2 linked regions of the Macaca fascicularis genome follow. The protein of the gene in region 1 purifies or fractionates together with the protein of each later gene. This does not show direct contact. Links are inferred from orthologs where the notes say so. Each region holds a gene or a part of one and is shown on either strand. Other genes may lie near its edges.

Evidence for each region.
Region 2: the proteins of HECTD1 (region 1) and URGCP purify together in Homo sapiens (affinity purification with mass spectrometry; 4 studies listed by BioGRID and IntAct, with this or other methods). This does not show direct contact. The link is inferred for Macaca fascicularis from reciprocal best matches to the Homo sapiens genes HECTD1 and URGCP.

Annotation. Positions count from the first base shown.
Region 1 is NC_088381.1:98,926,076-98,933,485, reverse strand, and holds part of HECTD1 (E3 ubiquitin-protein ligase HECTD1), read left to right. Parts: intron 1-2,171; coding exon 2,172-2,373; intron 2,374-4,058; coding exon 4,059-4,196; intron 4,197-4,507; coding exon 4,508-5,115; intron 5,116-6,110; coding exon 6,111-6,189; intron 6,190-6,282; coding exon 6,283-6,376; intron 6,377-7,410. UniProt on the Homo sapiens protein: E3 ubiquitin-protein ligase which accepts ubiquitin from an E2 ubiquitin-conjugating enzyme in the form of a thioester and then directly transfers the ubiquitin to targeted substrates.
Region 2 is NC_088377.1:86,378,448-86,385,857, forward strand, and holds the end of URGCP (up-regulator of cell proliferation), read left to right. Parts: intron 1-2,278; coding exon 2,279-4,872; 3' UTR 4,873-5,619; downstream 5,620-7,410. UniProt on the Homo sapiens protein: May be involved in cell cycle progression through the regulation of cyclin D1 expression. May participate in the development of hepatocellular carcinoma (HCC) by promoting hepatocellular growth and survival.

The sequences.
Region 1 (7,410 bases):
GAGATCACGCCACTGCACTCCAGCCTGGGCAATGTAGCAAGACTCCGTCTCAAAAAAATAAAAAATAAAAGACCTCTGGACTGTAAAAATGTTTCTCTTCATTGAGTAGAAGTGTGGTGTCCTCTCCCCCAAAGAAATATTTAAGGCAAACTATAATTGTGTCCTAAGCCTAATTGTGTAGTGTCTTTACTATTCAAATTTAATGTATTTCTTGCTGAAAGATGTGCGATGGCTTATTGTGCAACAAATTACTCAATTGGTTAGAAAATGGTCTGATATTATTTACGAAATATTTGTACTGGTTTGAAGATAGTCCCTCTGAATAATCATGGAAGAAATGATTTACCAAAAAAAAAGAAAACATTTAAAAAGTTTCTGTTTCCAGGCTGGGCACAGTGGCCCATGCCTATAATCCCAGCACTTTGGTAAGCCAAGGCAGACACATCACTGGAGGCCAGGATTTCGAGACCAGCCTGGACAACATGGCGAAACCCCATCTCTACAAAAAAACCCACAAAAATTAGCTGGGCATAATTCCAGCTTTTTAGGAGGCTGAGGCATAAGAACTGCTTGAACCCGGGAGGGAGAGGTTGTAGTTAGCCAAGATTGCACCACTGCACTCCAGCCTGGGCGACAGAGCAAGACTCACTCACTGTAGGTGCTCAATAAATATTTTGTTGAATGATTGTTTAAGTACTCTTTCAAAATAATTGTTAAAAAAGTTATAATTTAAACTGTGTTTCTTCCTTGATAGTTACATTTTTGTACCATTTAATGCCATTTACAAAGCATTTATATACATAGAACTATAGGCATGTTGTGATAACTGGCATTGATAATAATTTCTGTTTTATAAATGAGGAAATTGATTCTGCACGTACTTAGTTAATTTGCCTAAGATCATGAAAAAATAGTAGCACACATGAGAATAGAACCTTCAGCTTCTTATTCCTAATTATTGGTTCTTCCTCCCACCATAAATGGATTGTTATTAAAACAAAGAAAATGTGGCCGGGTGTGGCGGCTCATGCCTGTAATTCCAGCACTTTGGGAGGCCGAGGCGGGTGGATCAGTTGAGGCCAGGAGTTCAAGACCAGCCTGGGCAACATGGCAGAACCCGTCTCTACTAAAAATACAAAAATTAGCCAGGCATGGTGGCACGTACCTGTAATCCCAGCTACTGGGGAGGCTGAGGCAGGAGAATCACTTGAACCTGGGATAGGGAGGTTGCAGTGAGCTGAGATCATGCCACTGTACTCCAGCCTGGGTGACAGAGCAAGACTCCATCTCAAAAAAACAGAAAAGAAAAATTGTTTTAAAATTATAATTGATGGTGGCCTTTGTCTCATGTGTCCATGTGAAGAGACCATCAAACAGACTTTGTGTGAGCAGCATGGCTGTTCATTTCACCTGAGTGCAGGCAGGCTGAGTCCGAAAAGAGTCAGCAAAGGGTGGTGGGATTATCATTGGTTCTTACAGGTTTGGGGACAGGCGGTGGAGTTCAGAGCAATGTTTTGGGGGCATGGGGCGGATCTCACAAAGTACATTCTCGAGGGTGGGGAGAATTACAAAGAACCTTCTTCAGGGTGGGGGAGATTATAAAGAACCTTCCTAAGGGTGGGGTAGATTACAAAGTACGCTGATCAGTTAGGGTGGGGTAGAAACAAATCACAATGGTGGAATGTCATCAGTTAAGGTTATTTTCACTTTTTTTGTGGATCTTCAGTTGATTCAGGCCATCTGGATGTATATGTACAGGTCACTGGGGATATGATGGCTTAGCTTGGGCTCAGAGGCCTGACAGCTTTCAGTCTGAAAGATAGCTTAATCATTTTTAAATTTCTCCGATAGGAAACATTTGTCCTTTTTTTGAATGATGTTGGGGGCTGGACAACAGATTTTTATTTTTATTGAACTGCTAAAATAAGGAGGGAAAACACAGACCCAGTACTTTCTCAGTTTGCTTAAGGCAGATTATAATAAAAGGAGTTTCATATATTTTTACTTGTGAAAGGAAGCAATTTATGTAACAAAAAAGATTACTGTGTTTTAAAAATCACCTGATAAAATACTATTTTTTAATTTCTTAAATCTTTGAATTCTGTTGCTGGTTTAGTAGTACATTCAGCTGTTAATATATGCTGCAGCTCATAGATATTTTTCTATTTCAGAGCAATAGTGTGGTTACAAAACCGACGTGAAGCCACTGTGGAACGAACGAGAACCACAAGCAGTGTTAGGCGAGATGACCCTGGAGAGTTTAGAGTTGGTCGTCTCAAGCATGAAAGAGTAAAGGTTCCACGTGGCGAATCACTGATGGAATGGGCTGAGAATGTCATGCAAATACATGCAGATCGGAAATCAGTTCTTGAGGTAATCTCATAAAATTAGATTTAGGGAACAGGAATGACACTTAGGGAACCAGCCCAATGTGTCTTCACTGCATTAAAAACTGTGGTAGGTAAACATGAAGAGGGATTTTCCTATTCTGTCAGCAGAAGCCTTCTCTGGCAGAGCATCTTTTTCATAAGAGGATGTCAGTCCACCTCCTTAGGGGTTAGGTCTTGCGCCATTAATGAGCAACAAAGAAGATCTCCACTCTTGAGGCGGCAAAGTGCTTGTTCTGCCTCAGGGCTTCTACGTATTTCATAACAAAGTTGGACTAAAATAATAGTACTCACAAGGGATTCTTTTTGACCCTTATATTAAACTGCACTGTTGGATATTTTGGGAGCACTTGGTTTTGTAATATTGTTTCACTTAAATTGTGCTTGGTATTATATCACTGGTCTGTGTTGAGAGATGTTATAGCAAATGGCAGTATGAAATTTAATATATTTAGTTTAGAAATGTTACTGTGGACATTGTTGGTTATATTTCGTATACACAGTATTCCCCATATGAGGAAGAGTGGAAATACCTCTCCTGTCACAGGGGTGAAACCAATTGGTTTGTTTTTAACTTTTGGATCATAAACTAATTGCAAGAAATATGATACATCTCTAGAAGATGTCCAAAGCTTTACGTCTTTCACTTTATATACAGACTTTCATTGTGTTATTCCTCCTACCCTTACATTCTTCTTCTTCTTCTTCTTCCTTTTTTTTTTTTTAATAGAGACAAGTTCTCACTGTGTTGCCCAGGCTGGTCTCAAACTCCTGGGCTCAAGTGATCCACCTGCTTCGGCCTCCCAAAGTGCTGGGATTACAGGCGTGAGCCACCATGCCCAGCTGCTTACATTCTTCTAATTTAGATAATCTTTTTTTTTAACCATATGCTATAGTTTTTATGATACTTTATGCAATCACTTTAAAGGTTTTTGTCCATGCTTTTCCTGTTGCAAAAATGATTTAAAGCGTCTTTAACTCAGAAATAAGCAGAAGAGGCCAGGCGCAGTGGCTCATGCCTGTAATCCCAGCACTTTGGGAGGCCGAGGTGGGTGTATCACCTGAGGTCAAGAGTTTGAAACCAGTCGGACCAACACAGTAAAACTGTCTCTACTGAAAATACAAAATTAGCCAGGCATGGTGGTGCATGCCGTAATCCCAGCTACTTGGGAGGCTGAGGTAGGAAAATTGCCTGAACCTGGGAGGCAGAGGTTGCAGTGAGCTGAGATTGTGTCATTGTACTCCATTCTGGGCAATAAGAGTGAAACTGTGTCTCAAGAAAAGTAAAAAAGTGGAAGAGTTTAGGCTTTGGTGTCACACAGACACACACAAAAATCTGTACACCATCATTTCTTCAAGCAAATTATTTCACCTCCTTATGTGAGATTTGGTTTCCTTTGGTGTAAAAAGGAGATAATTATTTTGCAGGGTTGTCGTGAGAAGTAAATGTGTGAATGATGCTTGGCACAGTGCTTAAGCATGTAATAGTGTACAGGTGGACTCTTCAGAAAAATTACAATAACACTCCTATGCTGTTTATAATATATACACTGCTATTTTGAAAAAAGGTATATTACTGGATCAGATATGATAAATTTTGGCAAGAATTAGATTATTTTAAAAATACCCCAAACTTTATTTTAACCCACAATTTATTTGTTCATATTTTAGGTTGAGTTTTTAGGAGAAGAAGGAACTGGCTTGGGACCCACATTAGAGTTTTATGCTCTGGTGGCAGCGGAATTCCAGAGAACTGACTTGGGAGCTTGGCTTTGTGATGATAATTTTCCAGATGATGAATCTCGTCACGTAAGAATATTTCTTATTTTGTGACTTGAGTTGTGACTCTGTTTTCAAAAGTGTTAAAAATAGGTTATGTGTTCAGAACATAAGCCAGGTTTCTGACTCTACTTTTATTATTGAATAATCTTGATACAACTAAAATATTTCTAAAGCGATAAAATTTAGTCACCAAAAGCTATTTAATAAAATTACATACTTTTAGATAGCCAAATTCATGAAGATGTTTAGTTTATGGATTTTTTTCTTAGATGATGATAGGCTTAGTTTCTATTACCTTTTGTTTAATTTTATTTGCATTTCACCCTCTAAAAAATTAGGTTGATCTTGGAGGTGGATTGAAACCTCCTGGATATTATGTGCAGAGGTCATGTGGACTGTTCACGGCACCATTTCCACAGGATAGTGATGAGCTTGAAAGGATCACGAAACTGTTTCATTTCCTTGGAATTTTCTTGGCCAAATGCATTCAAGACAATAGACTTGTGGACTTACCTATTTCTAAACCTTTTTTTAAACTTATGTGTATGGGTGACATTAAAAGCAATATGAGTAAACTGATTTATGAGTCACGAGGTGATAGAGACTTACACTGTACTGAAAGTCAGTCTGAAGCTTCTACAGAAGAAGGTCATGATTCACTCTCAGTAGGAAGCTTTGAAGAGGATTCAAAATCAGAATTTATTCTTGATCCCCCTAAACCAAAACCCCCGGCTTGGTTTAATGGAATTTTGACTTGGGAAGACTTTGAATTAGTAAACCCACACAGAGCCAGATTTTTAAAAGAAATTAAAGACCTTGCTATCAAGAGGCGCCAAATTTTAAGCAACAAAGGTCTTTCTGAAGATGAGAAGAACACAAAATTACAGGAACTAGTGCTGAAGAATCCATCAGGTTCTGGGCCTCCACTTAGCATAGAGGATTTAGGGTAAGCATTATATGTACATTCTTCAATCCAATGGATGAATAAGTTCTAAAGCTTTTGTTTCTTTGTCCTCACTGATTTGCAATATATGAGAAAACAGTCTGTCAAAAACAGTAATATGCTGTAGGAAATACTGATGATCGACTTGAACCTTGATTTAATATTATAAAGACAACACTCAGAATACTAGAATATTAGTTTATTAATCATCAGACCTTTAGAAGATTACTTGACTTAGCCAATGTGAATTTATATGCCTGTGTAAAATGTCTAGAGTCAACAATATTTTGACAAATTCATCTGCTAATATATGGCCCACTTTGCAAAGCTCAAAAATTGGTTGGTATGTCAGCTTTATCACCAATGGCTGTAGTAGCTGAGATGCTGCAGATCTTTTGATAAAACTCTGTTACTTTATGTACAGGTAATTATCATATCTTCAGCTGTGGTTTTAGGTTAACTGCAAGGCCTTTTTTTTTTTTTTTTTTTTTTTTTTTAATGTTCGCTGATAATGTTGGTAAGCTGTGTTTGATAAATGGTTATATAGTCAAGGTTTTTTTTTTAATGCATATTTTTGTACATAGCATGATTGACTTCAGTGAAGCAACAGTTTCTTCCTAAAAGACTTATAAACGTTGTCATCATAATTAATTGCAAAATTTTTAGTTAATTAATTTTGTGCCATAAGTTAGAAGTAAAATATAGAAAGGTGGTTTCATGCAATCTTCGCAAAGCCAGACAGATATGGTAACAGCTGGCCTAGTAGATTTTGTCCATAGAATATTGCATTTAAAAAGGCCTCGACTTCTTCTAAGCTGGTGTACTGATTTTGTTGGAGGAGGAGGGGCTGGGAATTATGGTTTTGATAGCCATGTTATTATATTTATTTAATTTTTTCTCTTGTACCCACTGATGGCAGATGATAGTCATGTTATAAAAATTAAACACCCTTAGTAGTAGCTGCATGTCAGTTAATTTAATCTTTTTTGTCCTCCCAGTTTAAATTTCCAGTTTTGCCCTTCCTCAAGAATATATGGTTTCACAGCTGTGGATCTCAAGCCAAGTGGTGAAGATGAGGTAAAAAAAAGTTCTGAAATATCCTCTTAGCAAAGCCAGTTGTACTAGACACTCCTGAAATATTTCTAGATACTGACAGATTTTCTTTTGCAGATGATAACAATGGATAATGCAGAAGAATATGTGGATTTGATGTTTGACTTTTGTATGCATACAGGTATTCAGAAACAAATGGAAGCCTTTAGAGGTAATTTTAAAGGATTTTTAGCATAATTGCTCTCCTTTGACTTTGAGACAGTTGAAATTATGGTCAAGAATTGCTGGTGGTTGGCTGGGCATAGTGGCTAACGCCTGTAATCCCAGCACTTTGGGAGGCCGAGGTGGGCAGATCATCTGAGGTTGAGAGTTCAAGATCAGCCTGACCAACATGGAGAAACCCCATCTCCACTAAAAATACAAAATTAGCTGGGCATGGTGGCGCATGCCCGTAATCCCAGCTACTCGGGAGACTGAGGCAGGAGAATCGCTTGAACCCAGGAGGCGAGGTTGCGGTGAGCCGAGATCATGCCATTGCACTCCAGCCTGGGTGATGAGCAAAACTCTGTCGCAAAAAAAAAAAAAAAAAAGAATTGCTGGTTGTCGGGTGTGGTGGTGCTCACGCCTATAATCTCAGCACTTTGGGAGGCTGAAGCAGGAGGATCGTTTGAACCCAGGAGTTCAAGACCAGCCTGGGCAACACGGCAAGACCCCATCTCTACAAAACATTTTTTAAAAAATTAGCCAGATGTGGTGGCATGTGCCTGTGGTCCCAGCTACCTGTGAGGCTGAAGTGAGAGAATAGTCTGAGCGTGGGAGGCTGAGGCTGCAGTGAGCCATGTTTGTGCCACTGCACTCCAGCCTGGGCAACAGAGGGAGACCTTGCCTCAACAAAGAAAGAAAGAAAGTGGACATGGGTTGCATACATTCTCGATTACTTGATCAGGATGAATTAAACCATGAAAGAATCATGATGGGAACGAGTATATTATATGGTAAATCACTTCTGAAAATGAGAACACAGTTTTGCCTGACTTGTATGACAGAAACTGCTGGCGAACTCCAGACTGAGTAGTAACAAGAATTTGCATACTGACCATAGCAACTGAATGTTCTCTCTCTCTTCACATTTGTAATAAGCAGGGATTTCTTTTTTTTTTTTTTTTTTTTTTTTGAGACGGAGTCTCGCTCTGCCGCCCAGGCTGGAGTGCAATGGCCAGATATCGGCTCACTGCAAGCTCCGCC
Region 2 (7,410 bases), on another chromosome or scaffold:
CACACACTAGGCAGGAGTGTTTTCTCTGTCTTTTCCCCATTGCCTTTTACCACCTTGCTACTTAAAAAATAAAAAGTTGTTCCATGTCTGGACAAGAAAAACAGTGTTCCTAGTTTCATTCAGGCAGAGCTAGGAAAGCTGAGTAACACCTATTCTGCCACAGTGTGATTCTTCCCATGTAGTTCTTTTGTTTTTGTAACAAGTTCATAGGTCGCCTAATGTTCTGTGGGGCAGTCCTGTGGCTGCACTGCCTGTGGAACTCTCTGAGCAGAGTGTCCAGCACTATGAGTCCTGCTGGTTGAATGGGAGGTGGTCTTGAATCCATCACTTAACCTTCTTGGGAAACAGGCAGAGGGCTGGGTCACCCAGTGTTTCCTTTCATGTTTATCTAAAAATCTAAAGCAGCATCACACACGTCATTTTCTCTCTTGAGAAAGGAACTGGAAAAAAGGCTGCAGGGCAGTGGAATTTGTATTTGTTTCATGCATTAACATTTAAAGTGACTCAGCGGGGTGGCTCACTCCTGTAATCCCAGCATTTTGGTAGACTGAGGCAGGCAGATCACTTGAGCCAGAGAGTTCAAGACCAGCCTGAGCAACATGGCAAAATCCCATCTCTACAAAACATACAAAAACTAGCCAAGCGTCTAGTGCACCTGTAGTCCCAGCTGCTCAGAAGCTGAGATGGGTGGATCACTTGAGCCTGGGAGGTCTAAGCTGCAGTGAGCTGTGATCACACCACTGCATTCCAGCCTGGGTGACAGAGTGAGACACTGTCTCAGACAACAACAACAACAATTTTTTTTTTTTTTTGAGATGGAGCCTTGCTCTGTTGCCCAGGCTGCTGGAGTGCAGTGGCACGATCTCAGCTCACTGCAATATCTGCCTCCCGGGTTCATGCCATTCTCCTGCCTGAGTCTCCCAAGTAGCTGGGACTACAGGTGCCCGCCACCACGCCCGGCTAATTTTTTTTGTGTTTTTAGTAGAGATGGAGTTTCACCGTGTTAGCCAGGATGGTCTCGATCTCCTGACCTCGTGATCTGCCCGCCTCGGCCTCCCAAAGTGCTGGCATTACAGGCATGAGCCACTGCGCCTGGCCCACAACAACAAATTTTAAGAGAACTAATTATATGCAGCATGAACTTTAGGAAGGTGCTGGGCCAAGACCTGGGATGGTGGGTGGAACCTTCAGAGGTAGCAATACTATTCCAAGCATCTAGCTTATAAGATTTTATATTGTATAGGGTGATGTTTGAGTATCTGCAAATAAGTACTCACTTACTAACAGTCTGCACTGAATATTTTAATACATTTAAAATTAAAAACTGCATTAAAGCCAGGCACCATGGCTCACACCTATAATCCCAGCACTTTGAGAGGTGGATTGCTTGAGTTTGGGTTTGAGACCAGCCTGGGCAACATGGCAAAAACCCATCTCTACAAAAAAATACAAGGATGAGCTGGGTGTGGTGGCACACACCTATAGTCCCAGCTACTTGGGAGGCAGAGGTGGGAGGAGCTCTTGAGCCCAGGAGGTTGAGGCTACAGTGAACTGAAATCATGCCACTGCACTACAGCCTGGGTAACAGGGTAAGACCCTGTCTAAAAAAAAAGAAAGGGGGAAAAAAAAAAGAAAACCTGCATTATTGATTTCAGGTTTGCAAAATGGTTGTTTAGCTATGATTGCTGACTCTTTATGCTTAGTGATTTCTTTCTAGTTCCTTTAAAATATTCTCTTATTTGTAGAGAGAAAAACAAAACAAAAGAAACAAACAAAAAAGCATTAACTAGAAAGCCAGAGAGTGATTCAGTGATTATGACTCCTGTGGGAACTTCCCAGTGACTCTGAGTCACAGAAACGACACAGTGGGAGATGAGGCCTGCATTCAGCTTCTAGGAGTCATATGCTGCTCACTGTAGCCAATTAATTTGGAGCTCAATGTTAGATCTTACAGGTTTCTAGAAAGACCAGAAATCTGGCTTTTGCAAGAACTCTTCCAATTGTTAAATGTAGCTTCTCTATTTCTGTTCTTTCTTTTGTTTAATGTTACATATATCTGTGGTTAGGTTGGTACCTATTGTACCTTGATGTCAGGTTCCAGCCCTGCCTTGGTCTCAGGTCAGCCTTGAGCACACCCTGAGCCTCCTGTGCCTGCACTCTGCTCTCTGAAGGGGGTCATCACTCTCCCCATCCTGCTGGGCTCTCCCTCACCAGCTCTTGCCTGGCCCTTAGCTCAGAAACACAGGGTGAGCACTTATGTCTTCATTTCTTTCCACAGTGGAGAGAAGCAGGCTTCAAGAAATGCTGTCACTGTTGGGCCTAGAGATGTACCAGGTCCAGAAACTCAGCCTTCAGGACTCTCTGCAGATCAGTTTTGACAGTATGAAGAACTGGGCCCCTCAGGTTCCCAAAGACTTGCCCTGGAATTTCCTCAGGAAGCTGCAGGCCCTCAATGCTGATGCCAGGAATACCACCATGGTGCTGGACGTGCTCCCAGATGCCAGGCCTGTGGAGAAGGAGAGCCAGATGGAAGAGGAGATCATCTACTGGGACCCAGCTGATGACCTTGCTGCCGACATTTATTCCTTTTCTGAGCTGCCTACCCCTGATACGCCAGTGAACCCCTTAGACCTTCTCTGTGCCCTGCTGATCTCCTCAGACAGTTTCCTGCAACAAGAAATAGTGTTGAAAATGGCCCTCTGCCAGTTTGCACTCCCACTCGTGTTGCCTGACTCGGAGAACCACTACCATACATTTCTGCTGTGGGCCATGCGGGGCATTGTGAGGACATGGTGGTCCCAGCCCCCAAGGGGCGTGGGGAGCTTCCGGGAAGACAGCGTGGTCCTGTCCAGGGCGCCCGCCTTCGCCTTTGTGCGCATGGATGTCAGTAGCAACTCCAAGTCCCAGCTTCTCAACGCCGTCCTCAGCCCGGGCCACAGGCAGTGGGACTGCTTCTGGCATCGGGACCTCAACTTGGGCACCAATGCCCGGGAGATTTCGGATGGGTTGGTAGAAATTTCCTGGTTTTTTCCCAGCGGAAGGGAGGACTTGGACATTTTTCCAGAACCTGTGACCTTTCTGAACCTGAGAGGTGACATCGGGTCTCACTGGCTGCAGTTTAAGCTCTTGACAGAAATCTCCTCCGCTGTGTTTATATTGACTGACAATATCAGTAAGAAGGAATACAAATTGCTGTACTCCATGAAGGAGTCAACCACAAAATACTACTTCATCCTGAGTCCGTACCGTGGGAAGCGCAACACAAACCTGAGATTTCTGAATAAGTTAATTCCTGTGCTGAAAATAGACCACTCACATGTCCTGGTGAAGGTCAGCAGCACTGACAGCGACAGCTTCGTGAAGAGGATCCGGGCCATTGTTGGGAATGTGCTGCGGGCACCCTGCAGGCGGGTATCTGTGGAGGACATGGCGCACGCAGCCCGCAAGCTCGGCCTAAAGGTTGACGAGGACTGTGAGGAGTGTCAGAAAGCGAAAGACCGGATGGAGAGGATTACCAGGAAAATCAAAGACTCGGATGCCTACAGAAGGGATGAGCTGAGGCTGCAGGGGGACCCCTGGAGAAAGGCAGCCCAAGTGGAGAAGGAGTTCTGCCAGCTCCAGTGGGCCGTGGACCCCCCTGAGAAGCACAGGGCTGAGCTGAGGCGGCGGCTGCTAGAACTTCGAATGCAGCAGAACAGCCACGATCCCTCCTCGGGGGTGCAGGAGTTCATCTCGGGGATCAGCAGCCCCTCCTTGAGTGAGAAGCAGTACTTCCTGAGGTGGATGGAGTGGGGCCTGGCACGGGTGGCCCAGCCACGACTGAGACAGCCTCCGGAGACACTTCTCACCCTGAGACCAAAGCATGGGGGCGCCACAGACTTGGGGGAGCTGCTCTGGCCTGAGCCCCTGGGGGTGGAACACTTCCTGCGGGAGATGGGACAGTTTTATGAGGCCGAGAGCTGTCTTGTGGAGGCGGGGAGGCTGCCAGCAGGCCAGAGGCGTTTTGCCCACTTCCCAGGCTTGGCCTCGGAGCTGCTGCTGACAGGGCTGCCTCTGGAGCTAATCGATGGGAGCACCCTGAGCATGCCCGTCCGCTGGGTCACGGGGCTCCTGAAGGAGCTGCACGTCCGACTGGAGAGACGGTCAAGGCTGGTGGTTCTGTCAGCCCTCGGGGTGCCGGGCACGGGCAAGTCCACACTCCTCAACACCATGTTTGGGCTGCGGTTTGCCACAGGGAAGAGCTGCAGTCCTCGAGGGGCCTTCATGCAGCTCATCACAGTGGCCGAGGGCTTCAGCCAGGACCTGGGCTGTGACCACATCCTGGTGATAGACTCTGGGGGCTTGATAGGTGGGGCCTTGACCTCAGCTGGGGACAGGTTTGAGCTGGAGGCTTCCTTGGCCACTCTGCTCATGGGACTGAGCAATGTCACCGTGATCAGCCTAGCTGAAACCAAGGACATTCCAGCAGCTATTCTGCATGCATTTCTGAGGTTAGAAAAAACGGGGCACATGCCCAACTACCAGTTTGTATACCAGAACCTTCATGATGTATCTGTTCCCGGCCCCAGGCCAAGAGACAAGAGACAGCTCCTAGATCCACCTGGTGACCTGAGCAGGGCTGCAGCCCAGATGGAGAAACAGAGCGACGGCTTCCGGGCACTGGCAGGCCTGGCCTTCTGTGACCCTGAGAAGCAGCACATCTGGCACATCCCTGGCCTGTGGCACGGAGCACCTCCCATGGCCGCAGTGAGCTTGGCCTACAGTGAAGCCATATTTGAATTGAAGAGATGCCTACTCGAAAACATCAGGAACGGCCTGTCGAACCAAAACAAAAACATCCAGCAGCTCATTGAGCTGGTGAGACGGCTGTGAGTGTGCAGAGAAACCCAGTTCAGGTGTAGGAGGCTGCTGTGAGCAGCCCTGTCTGATGGGGCACCCGTGTGGGCTGTGCCCTGGTGCCTGAGAATGGCCGGTGCCCAATCGACATGAGAAGACAAGCAAAAGACAGAGGGTTTGGAGTCTCCTCAACAGTGTTAAGAGAGGAAGTGACCTCACAGACCAGCTCAGAGATGTTACCAGGAATATCACAACCCCCAGGGTAGGGAGACACGCAGCAGTTTGTTCTGTCTCAGCTCCTGTCAAGGATCCCACGGGGTGGGCCCTCTGTATAGCTGCTCTCTGTCACTGGCCCCTGGAGTGGGAGCAGTGTCCTCGGTCACTGCAGGCCCAGGCGGGCAGGTGGTCCCAGGACAGAGGTGGGGAAGTTGTCTTGAGGAAGCAGAAGTAGGCCTTGCTCCCGCCCAGCCCAAGGGCCTCCAGTGGACCAGCATTTGAGATGTGAGTGCCCGTGGTGCACAAGGCACTCCCATGGCACTGTATTTATTGACTGAAGGCTTCCCTGACCCCTGCCCAGGAAAAGTTCATTGGTCGCTCTGTTGTGCCCCACAGCACTTTGTTATACCTCTGCCACACACTTCACGCAGCGCGTTGTAACTCATGTGTTTACATGTCTGTCCCCCAGACTGTGAGCTCCTTGAGGGCAGGGACTGTACATTCTCCAGCTCTGTGTCCCCAGGGCCTGGCACATTATAGATGCTTAATAAATGTCTGTTGAATGAATGAATGCACAAGTGATAGTAATGGGCAGGTTCTGCCTCTCTGTGCCTTAATTCTGTTTCTCAAAGAGGAGAGCAGCATCTGTCTGAGGACTGGGTATGGTAGAGGCAGTATCTGGAAGGGTAGATAGGGTAGAGATGTGCCCTATCCTGGCACATTTTAGTAAAAAGCCATCCTGTTCTCTCTCTTTAAGGCAGGAGCCATTCTTCAGGCTGTTACTGGGGGTTAAAACTAAATACCTTCACAGTAACTCTGAGGTCTTTCCATTGTCACCCCATTTCACAGTTGAGGAAAAGGAAGCCTAGAGGAGGTAAGCCCCTGCCCCAGAGCTCACATCTGGATGGACAGAGCTAGAGCGGATAAGGGGTGGTGCTGTCACACTCAGCCCTGCACCTCTTCCTCTCACCCTCTCCAGACTCCCATAGCTTCTGGGCTTACCCCTGGGCAGCCACGTCAGTGCCAGCGCCTCCTCTGACATCCTCCCCGACCTCATCCACAACCCACCATTCGAACCAGAGGCTTGGCCAAGAACTTGGGACTTCTGCCCTGTCAGTTCTGCTGGAATCCTTGCCTGCACTGGCCCCTCCCAGGGGCCAGTGTCACCTCACTGGGCCTCAGAACCCCACCCCAGCCCTTTCATCAGCTCTAGGAAGCTCTGCTTGATCCCCTGGGCCTTGCTTAGACGTTGGAGCCTCTTTCTCTTTGTGTTTCTTGACTTCAGAGAAACCAAGCCCTTTCCCAAGAGCTCCTACCATGTTTCTTGTCCTCCTTTCACCAGACACAGCAAGGGAGCCTTTAGCTCTCGGTAGCTCACCAGCCCTCTAGACTGGAATCCTTTCTTGAACAAAAGGCTTTCTGGTCCCTTTTCTGGAGATGCCTGGCAGCCTGCCTGCTGTGGGTTTCTGGATTCCCTGGATGCTCCACCTGCTGCTCCCGGGACATCCAAACTGTTGCCTCCTGCGTTCCAGGAGCCTGGTTCTCCACAAACCTGGTCTCTTGCTAATAAGTTTAGGAAAACCTTTCCCTTTTTTCATTTTCCTGCTCTGTTGCCTGGACTGGAGTTCAGTGGCACAATCTCACTGCAACCTCCACCTCCTGGGTTCCAGTGATTCTCAGCCTCTCAAGTAGCTGGGACTACAGGCGTCCACCATCACAAAAATACAAATAATTTTTGTATTTTTAGTAGAGATAGGGTTTCACCACGTTGGCCAGACTGTCTCAAACTCCTGGCCTCAAGTGATCCGCCTGCCTCAGCCTCTCAAAGTACTGGGATTACAGGAGTGAGCCACCGCACCTGGCCTCCTCCCACCCTTTTTGAAAGATTGATGTTTCAAGTCTGTGAACTGTGGATGGGCCTTGCCTTTAGCCCTCCAGTCAGTGCTGCTCTTAGGATTCCAATGAACATAACACCCAGGACTTGCCTTTCATATCTGGAGCTCAAAATGCTCACCTTCAGGTCTGAGAAACCCCAGAACTTGCCATGGGGCTACTGGACAGTCATGTTCTTGGAGCCAAGGTTAGTAGAGAGAGAGCCACCCAGAAAGGTGGACAGGGCAGCAGGCTGCTCACCAGAGCATGGCCGTCTGCTCACAAGGGGTCCTGTTTGATGAAAGTGTCAAACCAAGCAAGTACTATCTTGGAGGAAATGGGCCGGAAGAGTGCTTGGGACAAGGAACCAGGCGTGTCTTTGCTTCTCCTGTGAGATGGGGTGTAGCTTGCTTCAGCATGTTGGATGTCTGGCCTGGTTTTGAACCTCAGCCTTGCTTCCTACTAATTATATGACCCTTGAGCAAA